Saccharomyces cerevisiae S288C: one gene and its partners. The gene in region 1 interacts genetically with each later gene. Each region holds a gene or a part of one and is shown in the gene's direction. Other genes may lie near its edges.

Region 1 (3,837 bases):
GGTTCAAAAAGTGGAAGTAGTAGTGCTCTTCCGCTTCGCCCTCAGCTGCGTCCTCATTTTCGGGATTCCGTTTGTTAAGCACGTCAACAATATCACCAATGGCATTGGCCACATTGATTACGTTCCCAGCACAGGACAGGATCCTGTCAGAGCAACCGGGCACCTTTTCAGAAATACCGATCTTGACGGCGTTTGCAGCTCTTATGCGTGAGATGGTGGAGCCCTTAGTGCCAATGATCTTGGCAGCCTCTTTCAATGACAGCAAAAGCCTGTGATTGATGGTGGGTTGAGCGGTGGTGCCAACAACGGGGGCGCCGCCAGTGGCGGCGCTGCCGGCATCACTGGAGCCGCCGTTGGTATTGTTTGTGGGAATTGCAACGGGAGTAGCAGCTTCGAAGAACTGTGACATGGCTGGTATATATACTAATGCTGTCTCTAAGTTACCCGATAAGTTGATGCTTTGTTGTACAGGGGACGCGCGATAGGAGTGGGGAGCAATATGCTTTTACTTCGTATGCCAAGTAGTTATATATGCTCGGGTACTTATGCTCCAGATTATAGTCTTGTTTGTTGTTTGGCTGAGCGGCCGGACACACAGAAAAAAAACAAAAGGGCTTTCGTTAAAAGGGATAGGGTAATGTCTAGACTTAGCATAGGGCTAAAACAGAAATAGTAGGGTCTATACCGTTTTTGAAAACAAGTTGTGTAGGGTGAGACTTTTTCTTTTTCCTTTGAGTTTTTCTTTTTCTTTTTACGATTTGTCAGAAATTAGTCGGACGCTCTTGTGGGGTGAGCGCCAGCGCCGCTATAGTATATATAAAGAAGTTGCTGTGCTGGCGTGGACAATAATTGAGTCATTACAAAAAGTGGCGTACATAAAACTACAACAAACCTACAGGATGACCATAGATAACTACGACAACAGTAAACAGGATAGCAGCAAATACGAGGTTAGTGGTACGGGTGATGGCAGGAACGGCGATGGCGGCTTGCCTCTAGTACAATGTGTCGCAAGAGCTCGTATCCCAACCACACAGGGTCCGGATATCTTTTTACATCTTTACAGTAACAACAGGGACAACAAGGAACATCTAGCCATTGTGTTTGGTGAAGACATACGGTCGCGCTCGCTATTCCGTAGAAGACAGTGCGAGACGCAACAAGATAGAATGATCAGGGGCGCTTATATTGGCAAACTGTATCCCGGCAGAACTGTGGCAGACGAAGACGATAGACTCGGATTAGCTCTGGAGTTTGATGATAGTACAGGTGAGTTATTAGCTTCCAAAGCCACTACATGGGACGCCCATAACGACACGCTGGTACGGATCCATTCTGAATGTTACACCGGTGAAAACGCATGGAGCGCCCGTTGTGATTGTGGTGAACAATTCGATAGGGCCGGTAGGCTTATCGCTTGCGACCACGAACCCACAAGCAACATCAAAGGTGGAAACGGCCATGGTGTTATCGTGTATCTAAGACAAGAGGGTCGTGGCATCGGGTTAGGTGAGAAACTCAAGGCCTACAACCTGCAAGACTTAGGTGCTGACACAGTGCAGGCCAACTTAATGCTGAAACATCCCGTGGATGCTAGGGACTTCTCGCTGGGTAAGGCTATTTTGCTGGATCTTGGCATCGGTAATGTCAGGCTGCTGACAAATAACCCGGAAAAGATAAAACAGGTAGATCATGCGCCTTACCTTAAGTGCGTTGAACGAGTGCCTATGGTACCCATACACTGGACAAACTCCAGTGAAGGCATAGACTCCAAGGAGATAGAAGGTTATCTCAGGACCAAGATAGAAAGAATGGGTCATTTACTAACGGAGCCTCTGAAACTTCATACAAACCCTCAACCTACTGAGACAAGTGAAGCCCAAAACCAAAACCGTATGAACTCTGCGTTGTCATCAACATCGACGCTGGCAATATAAACACAAGTGTAGCATAATTATTAGTACATATAGTGCTTTTTTTGTAATGAAACGAAAATACCATGTTATTTTAATGCGTTACCCCGTCGGCGCGTATTGGCGCATTAACATCTTTATAGAAAATCAAATTATTTACTTATTTATTCTAAAACGCTAAACATCTATTTATTTACATTTGAGGTTGAAACTTCCCTTCATCCGATTGACAGGCATATTTAGCGGTAATTATTAGGGTTTTTGGAGAGACCTTGTATTCTTCAGAAATAATGTCGTCCTTCAACAATGAGACCAATAATAACAGCAACACTAATACACATCCAGACGATTCCTTCCCTTTGTATACCGTATTCAAGGACGAGTCTGTACCCATCGAGGAAAAAATGGCACTGCTTACACGGTTCAAAGGACATGTAAAAAAGGAACTAGTTAACGAATCGTCGATCCAAGCTTATTTCGCTGCGTTACTGTTCATCTCCGGCCATTACGCTTACCGTTCGTACCCGCGGTTAATCTTCCTATCACATTCCTCGCTTTGTTACCTTATCAAACGTGTGGCCATGCAGTCTCCAGTACAATTCAATGACACTCTAGTTGAGCAATTACTAAACCACTTAATTTTCGAGTTGCCTAATGAGAAGAAATTTTGGCTGGCTTCCATTAAAGCCATTGAAGCCATTTATTTGGTTAATCCATCGAAGATCCAAGCTATTCTAGCAAATTTCTTGCGAAGACCAAGTGAAAACCAAAACGGAGATTACCTGAATAGGATAAAATCTACATTATTGACCATCGATGAGTTGATCCAGATCAACGAGAAAAATAATTCAAATCATTTGCAACTACTGAGGTTTTTCATGCTGTCTTTCACCAACCTTTTAAATAACAACCTAAATGAACACGCAAACGATGATAACAATAATGTAATAATAGAGCTTATTTTCGATATAATGTACAAGTATTTGAAAATGGATGACGAAAATTCACAGGATCTGATAGATGGATTTATTAACGATTTAGAAGTTGAGAAATTCAAGCAAAAATTCATAAGTTTAGCAAAGTCACAGGACCAGCATGGTTCACAAGAAGATAAATCGACCTTGTTTGACGAAGAGTACGAGTTTCAATTACTATTAGCCGAAGCGAAATTGCCGCAGTTATCAAACAACTTGAGCAGTAAAGACCCAGCGATGAAAAAAAACTATGAGTCTTTGAACCAATTACAACAAGACTTGGAGAATTTGTTGGCACCGTTCCAAAGTGTAAAGGAAACAGAACAAAATTGGAAGCTAAGGCAATCAAATATAATTGAATTAGACAACATTATATCCGGCAACATTCCCAAAGATAATCCAGAGGAATTTGTCACTGTAATAAAGGAGGTGCAGTTGATTGAGTTGATTTCAAGAGCTACCTCGTCGTTGAGGACAACGTTATCATTAACTGCATTACTTTTCCTCAAGAGGCTAATCCATATCCTAAACGATCAGTTGCCCCTATCAATATTGGACCAAATATTTGTCATTTTCAAGAACTTGTTATCATCTACCAAGAAAATCTCTTCACAAACTGCATTTCATTGTTTAATTACTTTGATCATTGATATAAATCATTTCCATAATAAACTATTCCAATTATCTTTTTTATTAATAAATGAGAAAACCGTAACACCGAGATTTTGCTCTGCAATACTGCTGCGTAGCTTCCTGATTAAGTTCAACGACTCCAATCTTTCGCTCAACAATTCAAATACAACTTCGCCAACCTCAAAGTTGGAGAATAACATCATATACATCGAAGAATGGCTAAAAAAGGGCATTTCAGATTCACAGACAACCGTTAGAGAGGCAATGAGGTTAACTTTTTGGTATTTCTACAAATGTTATCCTACAAATGCCAAAAG
Region 2 (3,600 bases), on another chromosome or scaffold:
GGATGAACCTAGATCTGCTGTGATAGCTGTAGAATTAGGGTTATTTGGGGCGCCAAATAAATCTGTATCAATGCCATTTACCGCAGTTTCTATATCAGAGAGAATACGGCAGTAATCCTCTAACTTCTTCTCGTAGAGATGAATTTTCTTTTGAAAGAATTTGTCTAAGTCATTAGAAGAAATTTTGCTTCCCGGAGTTAATAGTTGCTGTAAGAGCACCGAAAAAGTTTGCGTGTCTAGAAGGTCCTCATCGATTAGCGATTTAAATGAGGATATTTTCTTCAAATCTTGCTTTAAATATTGACTTGTTGCAGATTCTGACTTCAGTAGGTATGCAACATCACGAGGAATGGAATCTATCAATTCATCATGATCGATTGTATCGGCCTTCAAATGGTGCGAGATCTGCACTTGTTTTTGAATATATTGATCTAGTTGTTCAATTTCTTGACGTATTTGAGGTGGTAATTCGGAAATCCGTGTCATTGGGGTAATAGGGAGCTGAGATAGATTTTGCAATGCGCACTGCATTTGTGGTTGTTGCTGCAGTTGCTGCTGCTGATTACCAAATAGCCCGCCTGACGCACTCATGATGTTGTTACTATTATTGTTATTGTTGTTGTTATTTGATGAACCAAACAAAGACGTTGCTCCTGTCGGTTTGGAGCCAAATAACCCTCCACCAGTGGTCGTATTACCTGCATTATTGCCGAATAGAGATGTACCAGCTGGTTTTGCACCAAACATGCCCTGGTTCTGCGCAGGGGCCGAAGAGGTGCTTGTATTACCGAACAAAGAAGTGCCTCCTGCAGGTTTAGAGCCAAATAGTCCAGCGCTTGCATTATTCATGCCACTACTACTATTATTGATATTATTAGTGTTATTATTACCAAACAAACCACGACTCGTCTGTGCATTGTTGGAACCAAACAAACTGCCAGAATTACTGTTCGAATTAGCGCCAAATAACCCGCCCCCAGTGTTCGCCGTATTGTTAGGTTTGTTACCGAAAAGGCCCCCTCCGGTGGTGGCGCTTCCTCCAAATGCATTTGTCTGAGATTGTTGTTGCTGCTGACCAAATGATGCACCTAATCCTCCTGTAGATCCGGCTGGTTTAGCGCCAAATAGTCCACCTGTACTTGGGCCGGTGTTTTGTCCAGTTTGAGTCCCACCAAACGAAAACCCAGTATTCGCGTTTCCAGTGCTAGCTCCGCTGGCCTGACCAAAGAGCCCACCTGCAGGTGTCGAAGATGCTTTATTTAATCCAAACATTGTGCCCACTACCCGTGAAAACCCTCTCAATTACTGTTTTTATCGTCTCATCACCTGATCAGTAACTATTCTCACGATTAATGGTCTTTTTCAACTACATTTATTTGAGAAAGCTGTAATACATTCCGTGTTGAGTGATATATACAACCTCCTTTGCTCGTCTTTTCGCCACCGCAGAGCAAGTAACAACAGAGACAAACAAGAAGAGGTTAGAAAGCAATTTAAGGAGTAGTTTAACGAGTACTGAAAACGTCAAACTAAGTACTTACGACTTCCAATTACCGGTTGTAAAGTTTATCTACGCAAATATAACAGTTGCAGCTTGCTTTTTTTTTCAGCAGCTCTTCCGTTATTATAAAATCTGTTTGGCGTTCGCACAAGCGAACCGATTCTTTTATTATTTTCTCTCTGCCTTTTATTTCCGTTCCTGTTAATAGTTTATTTTCTAAAGGATACTGTCTTCTTCCGTACTTATAATCGGGTTCACAATAAGCAATTGACTAATCCTAGGACGATTCGTGTACTATAAGGAGAAAAAAAATCAACACTTGTAACAACAGCAGCAACAAATATATATCAGTACGGTATGGGTATTCCAAAATTTTTCAGGTACATCTCAGAAAGATGGCCCATGATTTTACAGCTTATTGAGGGAACACAGATTCCTGAGTTTGATAACTTATACCTGGATATGAATTCGATTTTACATAATTGTACGCATGGTAACGACGATGATGTAACCAAGCGATTAACTGAAGAAGAGGTTTTTGCAAAAATCTGTACGTATATCGATCACCTTTTTCAAACAATCAAGCCCAAGAAGATTTTCTACATGGCTATTGATGGTGTGGCCCCTCGTGCCAAGATGAATCAACAAAGAGCTCGTAGATTCAGAACCGCTATGGATGCAGAAAAAGCCTTGAAGAAGGCTATTGAGAATGGTGACGAGATTCCTAAGGGTGAGCCATTTGATTCGAATTCTATTACTCCAGGTACGGAGTTTATGGCCAAATTGACCAAAAACTTACAATATTTTATTCACGACAAGATTTCTAACGATTCCAAATGGAGGGAAGTGCAAATCATATTTTCTGGCCATGAAGTTCCAGGTGAAGGTGAACACAAGATCATGAACTTTATAAGGCATTTAAAATCCCAAAAGGATTTCAACCAGAATACGAGACATTGTATTTACGGTCTTGACGCAGATTTGATTATGCTGGGTTTGTCTACTCATGGGCCACATTTTGCGTTATTGAGAGAAGAAGTGACATTTGGTAGAAGAAATAGTGAAAAAAAATCGCTTGAACATCAAAATTTCTACTTATTACATCTTTCTTTATTAAGAGAATACATGGAGTTGGAATTCAAAGAAATTGCCGATGAAATGCAATTTGAATACAATTTTGAACGTATTTTGGATGATTTTATTCTTGTCATGTTCGTCATTGGTAATGATTTCTTGCCCAATTTGCCAGATTTGCACCTTAACAAAGGAGCATTTCCCGTTTTGTTACAAACGTTCAAAGAAGCTCTTTTACATACTGATGGCTACATTAATGAACATGGTAAAATAAATTTAAAGAGATTAGGTGTCTGGTTAAATTATCTGTCTCAATTTGAGTTATTAAATTTCGAAAAGGATGATATAGACGTTGAGTGGTTCAACAAGCAATTAGAGAATATTTCTTTGGAGGGTGAAAGGAAAAGACAGAGGGTTGGTAAAAAATTACTGGTAAAACAACAGAAGAAATTAATTGGAAGTATAAAACCATGGTTGATGGAGCAATTACAGGAAAAATTATCGCCTGATTTACCAGATGAAGAAATTCCAACTTTAGAGTTACCTAAGGACTTAGACATGAAAGATCATTTAGAATTTTTAAAAGAATTCGCTTTTGATTTGGGTCTTTTTATAACGCATTCCAAATCCAAAGGTAGTTATTCGCTAAAAATGGATCTTGATTCTATTAATCCTGATGAAACAGAAGAAGAATTTCAAAATCGTGTTAATTCTATCAGGAAAACAATAAAAAAATATCAAAATGCTATCATCGTGGAGGACAAAGAAGAATTGGAAACTGAAAAAACGATTTATAATGAAAGGTTTGAACGTTGGAAGCATGAGTATTATCACGACAAGTTAAAATTTACGACAGACAGTGAAGAAAAAGTGAGAGATCTTGCTAAAGACTACGTTGAAGGTTTACAATGGGTTCTATATTATTATTATAGAGGATGTCCATCTTGGTCGTGGTACTATCCGCACCATTATGCACCAAGAATCTCCGACTTAGCCAAGGGTTTAGATCAAGACATTGAATTTGA
Region 3 (3,837 bases), on another chromosome or scaffold:
CAGCCTCTCTTTTCGCCAAAGTGGTGTTTTGCTCTTTTTCAGCCGCCTCAGCAATAGTGGTGTTGATAAACAATAGCCCACTGGCGGTAGCGTTACTGAATGGTAAAAAAGCTATGTCATGATCACCTCCGAAATCCAAGTATCCAATAATGGCCTCGGCTGGCACCTGAGCGATATCTTCATCGGAACTAGCAGTGACAGAAACGGCCGCTAAAATAAAAGTGAGAAAGGTAGAAATGAATTTCATTTTCTCCAATATGTGAATTTACTGGAATTTGATGCAGGTGATGGTAGTAATTATCCATTATATAGAATATAAAAACAGATATAGGAAGGACACCTCAAACTACACCAGAATCAAGGACAGCTTTTATACATATAAGCCCTCGTCTCTGCGCTGTAAAGACACCAAGTTTCACTAGGTCCACGGCGACTCTGTACTGAAACAACTGAATATTTGAAACAGTAACGATGAATAGTTTGGCTCGATACCTTGAAAACAATCACTACAGGCGTCGCCCAGATGCGCACATCGTTGCTGGCATTGATGTACCAATGAAGAAATATAAGTGACAAACTTTATGAAAAGATAGAAAGAGGTTTACAAGATAAGAGAAAAATTATGCTGTGAAGATTAGTAATCGAAGTAACTGCTTATTCATTCAGTGCATGTTTTTCTAGGAATGCGTTTGATATGGGACATACATCTTACTATGCGACATTACCTTTTAGGGACATCAATGAGCAAGTGAACACTAGCAAATTAGGAAAACAACTTTAGCACGCCCAACTGCGTACTGAAACGCAGAAAACTATAGAGTTTCCCGAAACGGTGACAGCTGAGTTCGCTCAAATAAGAACAACACCATGTCTTGAAGCTTCTTCTATAGCGTAGAGTAAGTAGTGCCTTGTAGCCCTACCGTTTTACAATGCATGAGGTTACCCGCACTTATTATTTTTTTCTCTTTTTTTTTCTTAGCTATAAAAGGCAGATCAATGCAGCATTCATTGCTTTATTTGACTTTCCTTTACTATTTATTTACTTTCCATTTCTTATTTTAGTGTTATTTTATAACAGTAACGCAAATTTAACAGCCATTCGTAACACGTACAGTATCTCGTCGAGGTTGAACCCCTCCGGGGCGTTCTTGACCCATGAAGAATGTGGATTGGTGTTGCAATATATTTATTATTGGCTTGGACTGGAGAACAAATTTATCGATCTTGGGTGCAACAGTCTTTCTGTCGTCTGTTTTTTAGCAGATCTAAGGGTTTACCTTCGTGTGCCCGGATGAGGACCGTTGCAAGGATTGATAATACAACTATATACATCATTATCGTAGTGAATTGCACGAGTAACTTCTCGGCATGGGGTGAGTAAATTCATATTATGAAAGTAATTAAACTTACTACCTAAATAAGAGGATATCTATGTCTTATTGCTTGTATATATGAGTGGCTTGGAATGCTGCAAATACTGTTTAGGAAAAAGTAGATAACTAAAAGGTTTCTCCTTCCTTCGGTTGACGCAATTTCTTGTTCGCTGGGGTTGCCATTTCCTTTCTAAGATCAAGTAATAAAGTTTCCATGGTGTAGGCTCTTTTCCAGTCACGTAAGGTGTGGAAGTCAGTTTGGACCTCCCCCGTAGTTGGATTGACGCATGGTAGATTTATCTTGGAAATGAAAGTGACCTTTGGGGGAGAATCTGGATAGTTTGGGCCACAATCTATAGAAAGGGAATAGATTCTGTTTTCATGATTACTATGAGGGGGCCCTAAAATAGTGCCGTTCCATTTGGTCATGGTAATATCGTCGCTATCAGCTAAACCATAACTACATGATTCTGGACCAAACCCTTTTTCACCCTTTTCTAATTCTTCTAACAACCTAAAATTTCTTGGTCTGATTTACAATAGGACAGTGAGGGTACATTTCAAGAATTTGTTAGTATATGTTGAAATCCCTTTCAAAACTTATAATAACATACACTTTTGACATTTTTGTGTAAACGCTGCTTTCTTCTACGTTGCATATACAGAATAAGAATTTCACCACGACATCGAAATGTAATGAGCAGAGATTGTGTAGGAAGTTGATCTTATTTTAGTCTCTTATTTATCGCTAAAGGAGCAATGAAAATTGATAGCGTGTTACCCTAGGAATAATTCCTAACAATTTTTTCCATCTTAAAATCGAGAGGTAATAGTAAATAATGGATGTGAGAGCGGCATTGCAATGTTTCTTCAGTGCATTGAGTGGACGATTCACTGGAAAAAAATTGGGACTAGAGATCTATTCTATCCAGTACAAAATGAGCAATAGTGGTGGGTCCTCTCCTTTCTTGGAAAGCCCTGGAGGTTCGCCCGACGTAGGCAGTACAAATGGACAAAGTAATCGTCAGATTCAGGCGTTACAATTCAAGCTCAATACTCTACAAAATGAGTATGAGATTGAAAAATTGCAGCTACAAAAACAGACGAATATCTTAGAAAAGAAATATAAGGCCACGATTGACGAATTAGAGAAAGCATTGAATGATACAAAATATCTTTATGAAAGCAATGATAAATTGGAGCAAGAGTTAAAGAGTTTGAAAGAAAGATCAGCTAATTCGATGAATGATAAAGACAAATGCATAGAGGAATTGCGAACAACCCTCCAAAACAAAGATTTAGAAATGGAGACTTTAAGGCAGCAGTATGATTCGAAGTTATCAAAGGTCACTAACCAATGTGACCATTTCAAGTTGGAAGCAGAGAGCTCTCATTCGCTACTGATGAAATATGAGAAAGAAATAAAGAGGCAAAGTGTGGATATCAAAGATTTGCAGCATCAAGTGATGGAAAAGGATGATGAATTATCTTCGGTAAAAGCATCTAAGATGATAAACTCACATCCAAACTACTCCACCGAAGAGTTCAACGAGCTCACTGAAATGAACAAAATGATCCAAGACCAAGTTCAGTATACTAAAGAATTGGAACTAGCGAACATGCAACAAGCCAATGAATTGAAAAAACTTAAACAATCCCAGGACACTTCTACTTTTTGGAAATTAGAAAATGAAAAACTACAAAACAAATTAAGTCAATTACACGTACTCGAAAGTCAATATGAAAATCTTCAATTGGAAAACATAGATCTAAAATCGAAATTAACCAAATGGGAAATTTATAATGATAGTGACGATGATGATGATAACAATGTTAACAACAATGATAATAATAATAATAATAAAAATGATAATAATAATGATAATAATAATGATACAAGTAATAACAACAATATTAATAATAACAACAGAACCAAAAATAACATAAGAAATAACCCTGAAGAGATTATCCGGGACTGGAAACTTACCAAAAAGGAATGTTTAATTTTGACAGATATGAATGATAAGTTAAGATTGGACAATAACAATTTAAAGCTACTGAATGATGAAATGGCTTTAGAGAGAAACCAAATACTAGATTTGAACAAGAATTATGAAAACAACATAGTAAATTTGAAAAGATTAAATCACGAGTTAGAACAACAGAAGAGTTTATCTTTCGAAGAATGTCGATTACTGCGCGAACAATTAGATGGCCTATATTCCGCACAAAATAATGCTTTACTAGAGGTCGAAAATAGTGAAACACATGCGTCAAACAAGAACGTAAACGAAGATATGAATAATTTGATCGATACTTATAAAAATAAGACAGAAGATTTAACAAACGAACTAAAGAAGCTAAACGATCAGTTATTATCAAATTCCAATGATGTAGAAACACAAAGAAAAAAGAGGAAGTTGACAAGTGACCAAATTGGTTTAAATTATTCACAGAGGCTCAA

Evidence for each region.
Region 2: mutations in STU1 (region 1) and XRN1 are lethal when combined (synthetic lethality), as found in Saccharomyces cerevisiae (4 studies listed by BioGRID, with this or other methods).
Region 3: mutations in STU1 (region 1) and MAD1 together harm fitness more than expected from each alone (negative genetic interaction), as found in Saccharomyces cerevisiae (5 studies listed by BioGRID, with this or other methods).

Annotation. Positions count from the first base shown.
Region 1 is NC_001134.8:156,756-160,592, reverse strand, and holds the start of STU1 (Stu1p), read left to right. Parts: upstream 1-2,203; coding exon 2,204-3,837. Other genes in the region: HEK2 (Hek2p), read right to left, coding at 1-409; RIB1 (GTP cyclohydrolase II), read left to right, coding at 900-1,937.
Region 2 is NC_001139.9:178,372-181,971, reverse strand, and holds the start of XRN1 (chromatin-binding exonuclease XRN1), read left to right. Parts: upstream 1-1,858; coding exon 1,859-3,600. Other genes in the region: FG-nucleoporin NUP49, read right to left, coding at 1-1,272. UniProt on the Saccharomyces cerevisiae protein: Multifunctional protein that exhibits several independent functions at different levels of the cellular processes. 5'-3' exonuclease component of the nonsense-mediated mRNA decay (NMD) which is a highly conserved mRNA degradation pathway, an RNA surveillance system whose role is to identify and rid cells of mRNA with premature termination codons and thus prevents accumulation of potentially harmful truncated proteins.
Region 3 is NC_001139.9:344,907-348,743, forward strand, and holds the start of MAD1 (coiled-coil domain-containing protein MAD1), read left to right. Parts: upstream 1-2,212; coding exon 2,213-3,837. Other genes in the region: MF(ALPHA)2 (Mf(Alpha)2p), read right to left, coding at 1-247; YGL088W (uncharacterized protein), read left to right, coding at 930-1,295; E2 ubiquitin-conjugating protein MMS2, read right to left, coding at 1,500-1,902, 1,988-1,998. UniProt on the Saccharomyces cerevisiae protein: Central component of the spindle assembly checkpoint. Thought to recruit MAD2 to unattached kinetochores. During checkpoint activity, MAD2 is relayed from the MAD1-MAD2 complex to the mitotic checkpoint complex (MCC).